Linked DNA regions of Oryctolagus cuniculus. The protein of the gene in region 2 interacts with the protein of the main gene of each other region in a pairwise test. Links are inferred from orthologs where the notes say so. Each region holds a gene or a part of one and is shown on either strand. Other genes may lie near its edges. The genes, in order: ANXA4 and PADI4.

Evidence for each region.
Region 1: the proteins of PADI4 (region 2) and ANXA4 interact in binary tests that used the Homo sapiens proteins (3 or more experiments, as listed by UniProt). The two-hybrid records come from large-scale screens. The link is inferred for Oryctolagus cuniculus from reciprocal best matches to the Homo sapiens genes PADI4 and ANXA4.

The regions. Positions count from the first base shown.
Region 1 is NC_091433.1:132,953,784-132,958,350, reverse strand, and holds the start of ANXA4 (annexin A4), read left to right. Parts: upstream 1-1,625; 5' UTR 1,626-1,734; intron 1,735-4,567. UniProt on the Homo sapiens protein: Calcium/phospholipid-binding protein which promotes membrane fusion and is involved in exocytosis.
Region 2 is NC_091438.1:152,880,149-152,883,538, forward strand, and holds the end of PADI4 (protein-arginine deiminase type-4), read right to left. Parts: coding exon 3,337-3,390; intron 1,990-3,336; coding exon 1,756-1,989; 3' UTR 803-1,755; downstream 1-802. UniProt on the Homo sapiens protein: Catalyzes the citrullination/deimination of arginine residues of proteins such as histones, thereby playing a key role in histone code and regulation of stem cell maintenance.

The DNA.
Region 1 (4,567 bases), on a different chromosome or scaffold from region 2:
CTCTTTCCTAGAGTCTCTCAAGAGATTTTTTTTTTTTTTAAGTGATTGTTGCAAGGTGTCTGACGCGTAAAAAATCTTCCCAGGCAGACGAATCAATTAATTCACAGGCTTTTATTGGGATTCTGCTCCTGGGCGAGGTTCCACGGCCCTAACAGAGCAACGGGGTGGGGGGTGGGGTGTCGCGAGTCAGAGATTGGGAGAACTCCTTTTATAGATTCAGGGCATGGGGGTTAAAGGTTGAGGTGGGCCTGATCCTCATTGGTTGACCTTTAGGCACCGCGGGGGACCTTGACAAGGACTTTCCATTCCCGGAAGTATAGGCCTTCCCTCAAGTATAGGCCTTCCCTCCTTGTGGATCCCAAAGCTATCAATTGTATTTACTAGAAAAGTAGAGAGAGGGGCAGGAGTAGCGGGTTAAGCTGTCCCTTGGGACATCCACATCCCATCTTGAGAGCCAGTTTGAGTCTTGACTACTGCACTTCTGATCTAGCTTCCTGCCAATGCTGCTGGGAAAGCAGTGGAAGATGGCCAAACTACTTGGGCCACTACCACCCACAAGGGAGTCCAAGATGTTGGTCCTGGCCCCCAACTTTGGCCTTGCCCAGCCCTGAGTGTTGCACATATGAGTGAACCAGCAGATGGGAGATTAATCTCTGTCATTTTTTATAAAGATTTACTTTAAAGGCAGTGTCTTTTTTTTTTTTTAAAGAGCTATTTATTTTTATTTGAAAGGCAGAGTTACAGAAAGGCAGAGAGAGAGAGAGAGAGAGAGAGAGAGAGAAATAAGTCTTCCATCCATTGGTTCACTCCCCAAATGGTGGCAACAGCCAGAAATGAGCTAAGTTGAAGCCAGGAGCTTCTTCCGGGTCTCGTGGGTGCGGGGGCCCAAGGACTTGGGCCATCTTCTACTGCCCTCCCAGGCCATAGCAGAGAGCTGAATCAGAAGTGGAGCAGCTGGGTCTCCTACAGGCGCCCATATGGGATGCCAGCACTGCAGGCGGCGGCTTTACCCGCTACACCACAGCGCCGGCCCCTGGCAGTGTCTATTTTTTTAGTGTGCCAAACCACCTACACCTCTTCAGAGATTCTTGAGACTAGGGACATAATTCACCAGAGGGGAGCTTTCTCTTTCTGATACTGTACGCGCTGTGTTTGGGAACTGCTTCATCAGAGCTTGAGGGGGTCAGAGTGTCACTCCGGCTCAGACGTGTGGAAATTACCTGCACTGACCCTGCCGCACTTGCCTTCGGCTCCAGAGTTCTGCGTCTGCTGCTTCCTCCGCCTGGAATCTCCTCCTCTCCTCCCCGTCGTGGGCCGCTACATATCCATTCCTTCAGGATGCTCCATTGTAGGGCTCCCCTGCCGGTCCCCATCTGCACTTTCCCGCTCACAGTTTCTAGTTCTTAAAGGTCTAGTCAATTGCCCATCTTTACAGTGGGCAATAAGCTTGATCGCCACTGCAGTTCCCATGGGCCAGGCCTCCTAAGCGGTGGTGCAGGTGGGCAGGTAAACAGAGGCTCCGCACTGTTACCCTGCCACGCTCCTTCCGGTTTGGGCAGCGCTCCCTCCCCCAGCAGCTGAGTGGTGGGGAGAACATTTCCGGAGAGCGTCATTTCCGCTCAGTTCGGGACTGACTTCCTGTCCGCGGGACTTGGCTGTTGGCAAGCGGGGTTGAGCCAGAATTGTACTCCCTGCTTTCAAGGGACTTTCCATCTTTCTGAGGACAGAACCAATGTGAGTCACCTCCCCGCGCCACTGCAGCGGCCCCAGATCCCTCGCCCTCGCTGTAGCAGTGCCCTGGTGACGGGTGTCACGCAGGCTTCTCCAACTGTACACAGCTGAAGGTTCACGCGCTCAAGGGTCCAGTGTGTCCGTGAAACTTCAAGGCGGTCAGGGCAGCTGAAGCCAAGGGCACTGGGGACAAGGAGCAGGGGTGGCCGTGGACGGGGAGGAGGCTGGGAGGGCATGAGATCTTGGGCACATGCAGAGCCATTTATCAAGACCACAGACAGCAGCCACAGGAGGGCTGAGCAGGTTTTTAAAGCATTCAGCATCCCTGTAACTCTATCTTTCGAATAAATAAGTCTTTATTTGGAAGAGTTAGAAGAAAGAAATCTTCCATCTGATGGTTTACTCCCCATATGGCTGCACCGGCCAGGGCTAGGCCAGGTTGAAGCCAGAAACCTGGAATGCCATCTGGGTCTCCCCATGTGGGTGGCAGGGGCCTAAGCATTTGGGCCATCATCTGCTGCTTTCCCAGGAGCATTGGCAAGAAGCTGGATCGGAAGTGGAGCAGCTGGGACTTGAACTTAACCTACTGCATCACAACGCCAGCCTCTAAAATATTCTTGCTGCATTGTGGACAATTGACCAGAGGACAGTTGACCACTGGAGGCAGGAAGTCCAGTTGGCATTGAGAGCTCTCAATCTGTTTGCACCTGGGGAGCCCTAAGGAATGACCAGGAGCAGGGCCAGGATAGCACTTTTGTTTCTCCCCACTCCCCAGTGATTCTCCTGCGCAGGCAGGTGGAGAACCACTGCCCTGGAGGTGCAGGGGTGCTTGCTGTGGCTGGAGAACCCAGGGATTTGGCAGGGGAGCCAGGAGGAACACCAGGGAAGAGCTGAGCTCCCCGCCCCAGAGGGTAACATCCATGTTTCTCTGATTCACACCAAGTTTGGTGCTACTGATTTTTTTAATTGGAGGTCATTCCCAGTATTAAAAATACTTAAAATTCACACAAAATATGCTCATTTCTACTTCTCTTAAGAAAGTTGAAAGGCACGGCCAACCTGGATCTGTGTGCCAGCTGCCCTCTATGGACCTAGTGTGTGCTCTCCAGGCTGCCACAGCGGAAACACGTATCAATTCCCCCTGTCCCAGCCAAGTGCCAGCTGCTGTTTTTCACCTTGTACCCGGCCAGCTGGCTCATTCAAGTTAGTTCCCTAGTCCCTGTTCAGATGGGAGTTTGGAAGTCAAGGGCTAGAATCTGCAGTAGACCTGTTAGGGTTTTGTGGTGCTGTGTGTGTGTGTGTGTGTGAACGCTTGAGACACACAAAACTGCCTCAGGTTTTCCCACAGAACATGAATGCCATCAAGTTGCTGATGCTAACAGATTACTCTGAAAGATGTGGTTAAGACACACACACACACACACACACACACACACATATATATATATATAGGCATCCTGTATAAGAGTGCATGGGCTTGATGCCTGGCTCCGGCTCCCGATTCCAGCTTCCAGTATAGGCCCTGGGAGGCAGCAGCTGATGGTTCAAGTAATGAGTCACAGCCACCCACATGGGAGACGTGGATTGAGTTCCCAGCCCCAACCCTTGCCAGAATTTTTGGAGTGAACCAGCAGCTAGAAGCTCTGTCCATCTCTCATTCTCTCTGCCTCTTGAATAAATAAATAATACAAAAATAAAATATTACTCTTATCGTGTAATTCCAAGGAAGAACTGCTTCACTAGGCATGAGGACAAATCAAGACCCCCTCCAGTCTCCTCCAGCTCTTCTACAGGAAAATCTTTATTTGCAGTCCTGTAAGCAGTTTTTAGTAAGAATGGGTATTCTCACCAGTGATTGTCAGAAATAACAGGCAAGATAGCAAGACAGGTTGAGAATCAGATTGGGTCAGAAAGAGGAGGATATGCATTTGAATCTCAACGAATCTGGCACTGGTTGCTTGACCCTTGGCAGACTCCCAGAAATAAGAGCTCAGACCTGCCTACCTACCTCACGATCATTATGAAGCTCAAATAAAAATGGATCAATGCTTTCTAAGCTGCAGAGGGATTCACAGATGTACAATATGATTATCATTATTCGCTTGTTTACCAGACCCACACCCAGTGCTATGGTGTATGTGTTTGGCTTGTACTCAGCTTAGGGATGTAAAAATGAATGAGATGAGCCCTAAGGGACTATGGTCTACTGGAAGTAGCAGTGATATGAAAGAGTGCTTTTAGGCAATAAACTCAAAGAATTAAGAAATAGACTCCAACACAGCCTGGCATGCCAGCATTCATGGAATTATTCAGGATAGTCCAAAAATCGAAACAACCCAGCTGTCGTCGGTGGATGAATGTGTAATCAAAATATGGTGTGTATGTGCAATAGAATATTACTCAATAGAATATTACTCAGCCATGAAAAATAATAAGATTCTGACACGTGCTGCAACATGGATGGATCTTAGGAACACCGGGCTGAGTGAAGTAAGCCAGACACAAAAGAACAAGTATTAAATGACTCTACTCACATAAAATACCTAGAATAGGAAAATTCATAAAGACAGAAAGTAGATCAGAGGTTAACCAGTAGCGAGGGGTAGGTAGGAAAGGAGATCTAACTAATGAGGACAGAGTTTTCTATTTAAGGTGATGAAAAATTTTGGAAATAATGGTGATAGCTATTAAGAATCTAATTGATGCCACTGAGTCATATACTTAAAATCAGTTAAAATGGCAAATTTTATGCTATATTCTTAATAAAGATATTTTTAAAAATTGTTTAGACTTCGGCCGGCGCCGCGGCTCACTAGGCTAATCCTCCGCCTAGCGG
Region 2 (3,390 bases):
CCGAGAAGGCAACTCGCAGGCTGAGCGTCTGCGCTTGGGACCACAGGTGTTTCCAATCTGTGTGTGTGTGTGTTTTTTTTTTTTTTTTTTTTTTTTTTTTTTTTTTTTTAGAGTTTGGAATATTGGCATGGACTTGATTGTCGAGTATCCCTAATGTGAAAATCCCAAATCTGAAAAATTTTGAGTGTTTTCTTGGCAACTCAGAAAGCTTCAGGTGTTGCAATACCTGCAGTTTTGGGACTTTCTGGTGGGTGGAGTTCAACAAACACACAGCAGCCTGTGGCCCCCCGCGGGCGCCAGGCCCTGCTTTGGGGGGCTCACGGCGCGGGGGCTCACAGAGCTGGGGCTCACGAAGCCAGGGCTCATGGACCAGACAAGGCCCATTTTGGGATGCTTTCTGCTGGCAGAGTGGAGCCCATAGGGAGCGGGGCAGAGAATGTCTGACGTCGACCCCTCCGTGCCCTGGCGCTGGCCGTGGGCTGTGCTTTTCTCAAAGGAGCTCCTGACTGGGAGAAGGTTCCCAGGCCGCATCTCTGGCCTCAGGGCTTTGCCACCGCCGCCTCCCGCCCCACCAGGTACGCTGAGCGACCTGAGGCCCAGGCACCTGCCCACCAGTCGGCTGCCTGTGTTTTATCTTTATTCTGACAAATACAGAACAGTGCATCGTGCTGACACAGCCACATTAACGCGGGCGAAGCCTCGGTGGGGCTGTCAGGGAAAGGATTTCAAAGACGGGTTCTGGGCCCCTCTTCCCTTCTTGAGTTTCTGTAGGGAGCTCAGAACCAACCAGGACCACGTTCGATATTTTTAAAATATTTTATTTATTTATTTCAAAGGCACAATTACATACAGTGAAAGACAGAGACAGGGAGAGGTCTTCCATCCGCTGGTTCACTCCCCAGATGGCCACAATGGCTGGAGCTGCACCGATCCGAAGCCAGGAGCCAGGAGCTTCTTCCGGGTCTCCCATGCGGGCGCAGGGGCCCAAGGACTTGGGCCATCTTCTACTGTTTCCCCAGGCCACAGCAGAGAGCTGGATCGGAAGTGGAGCAGCTGGGTCTCAAACCGCTGTCCATATGGGATGCTGGTGCCACAGGCAGAGGCTTAACCTAGTACACCACAGTGCTAGACCCCCTTATGCAAGATTTAAAAAAATATATTTTAAAAATGTTATTTGAGAGAAAGAAGATGCACCCATCTGCTGGCTTATGCCCTAAATGCAACAGCACTGAACCCAGCTGGGGCTGAAACCAGGAGCCGGGAGCTCCATCCGGGTCTCCCACGTGGGTAGCTTCAGCCGTCACCAGCGCCTCCCAGGGGCTGCAGGCAGGACGTGGACCAGCAGCGGAGCCCACGTACTCTGATGTAGGACTCAGCCACCTTCACTGCTAGGTCCAATGCCAGCCCCTCACGAGAGACTCTATCCACCGGCGCTAGGCCTGGGAGCGAAAGGCACACTCGGTAACGCTGGCTCCGAGACCCTGGCAATTCTGCGGTGCCAAGCGAGCTCGTGGTGAGTGACAGGAGCGACGGGTGGCCGTGGCGCACACAGGGACGGACAGCTTCCCTGCAGCTCCTCCAAGCACAGCTGAGTCTGCGACGCGGGGACCCTCGTGGGAACCTGGGGGGGGGGGCTCGGGGCTGGAGCCAGGAGAAGGGAAGTGAGCCGCCCCGGGGGGCTCCAGCTGCGCCACGCCACAGGGCGCCGGCCACCTCGGGCGGCAGGGGCAGGAGGGCGCCTGGCGAGCCCCGCGTTCAGGGCTCCATGCGCCACCACTTGAAGGCGAAGGGCTTCCGGCGCACGTTGGTGCCGCAGTGCACCTCGCCGTGCCGGACGTGGTAGGAGTAGAAGTCGTCGATGAAGGTGCAGCGCAGGCCCAGCGGCTCCAGCAGGGACCGCACCTTCTCCTCCAGGCAGCAGCGGCCGTTGATGATGGGGCCGAAGGGCTTGGGGATGCCCAGGTGCTTGCCCAGCACCAGCAGGTTCACCTGCGGCGGGAGGGAGGCCGCAGCCTGGGGTGTGGTCCGCGCATCCCCCCCCCCCCCCGACCTGTGTGGATGGGGAAACTGAGTCTTGCATGGGAAAAGGGCCAGCCCGCTGTTCTAGGACTGGTGCCAAGTCTCTCCCCCGCTGACCACCTTCTGGTCAAGCCCAACTCAGATGCCAGCCCCGCTGCGAAGCTGCCATGCATCCCCAAACTCTGGTTTCCATGGCAACAGTAAACAAGAGCCGGCGTGCCCAGGGACACAGTCAGTGCAGGGTCGCCCTCCCGAGTCCTTAGGGCGTCTCGTTCTCCGTGGCGGCTCGGCCCGAGCTGAGAGGCTCCCGTGGTTCACTCCCCTGCCTGTTCCACGACCACCGGGGAGCCAGCGGGTCTTGGCTCAGGCTCCCTGCAGGGGCCTCGCCGGCGGCTCAGAGCCAGCCCTCGGCCTGGCCCGTGGGTCATTCCAGGAGCCCTCCCCTAGCCGTCAGCACCCACTTCCGTTCCTGCACCAGAAGCCTGGCTCGGCCAAACCAGAGGGGACCGAGATGCCTGGGGCCAAGGGAGTTCAAAGGGTGGGGGAGGGGCTCTCCTCTTCTTTTAGCCCAGGGACCCTTTATTTACTTATTTATTTATTTGTTTGTTTTATTTCGGCCGAAAGCATTTATTAGACTGAAGGTTTCCTAAGACCTCTTGGAAAACCCGGTAATGTTTGCACAAATCATACACGTGGATAGATCCGTGCTGCAGGTGATACGCGGCCGGCGCTAGGCTCAGCCCGGGCAGGAGAGGGCCATGGGACCCCCATCCTATACAGGACCCTCTGCAGGGCTTCCATGCATGGAACACAGACAACCTGAGCCCCGGATTTGAGGCACCGCCTAGGCACCCCGGAGCCCTGGGGAACCCAGTCTGCAAACTGCCACATTAGGGGCTGCTGGCTGGTCTGGGGCTGCAAGCCCAGCGCTGGGGGAGGCGGCGGCCGAAGGGCCCTCGGGTGTTCTCAGAGGAGACGGGAGAGGGATGGGGGCTGTGACCGGGCTGGGCACTGGGGGTGGGGGGGTGTGACCCTCACATCTGTGCTCCTGCAGCTGGGGTCCCACCCAGCCGGGGAAGGGGTGGTACCACCTTCTCCTTGCAGAGGTCCCCCGGGGCCGCCCAGCCGAGGGCCCCACGTGCATGCCCTTCCTCGCACCTGTCGCGGCCAAGGGCGACTCTAGCCCTTCACGAGTGGCAGCCACCCCGGCCCGGAAGCTCTGAACCCTGTCCCCGCCGGTCCAGGGTTCTTGTGCCGGAACCACCCCTGAGCAGTGCGTGACCGGGAGACCCCCGGCGTCTAGGGCGCCCCCCTCACCATGTTGGGGAAGAAGGCGGCGGCCTTGAGGCGCTCCCTGCTGCCCCCCACGAG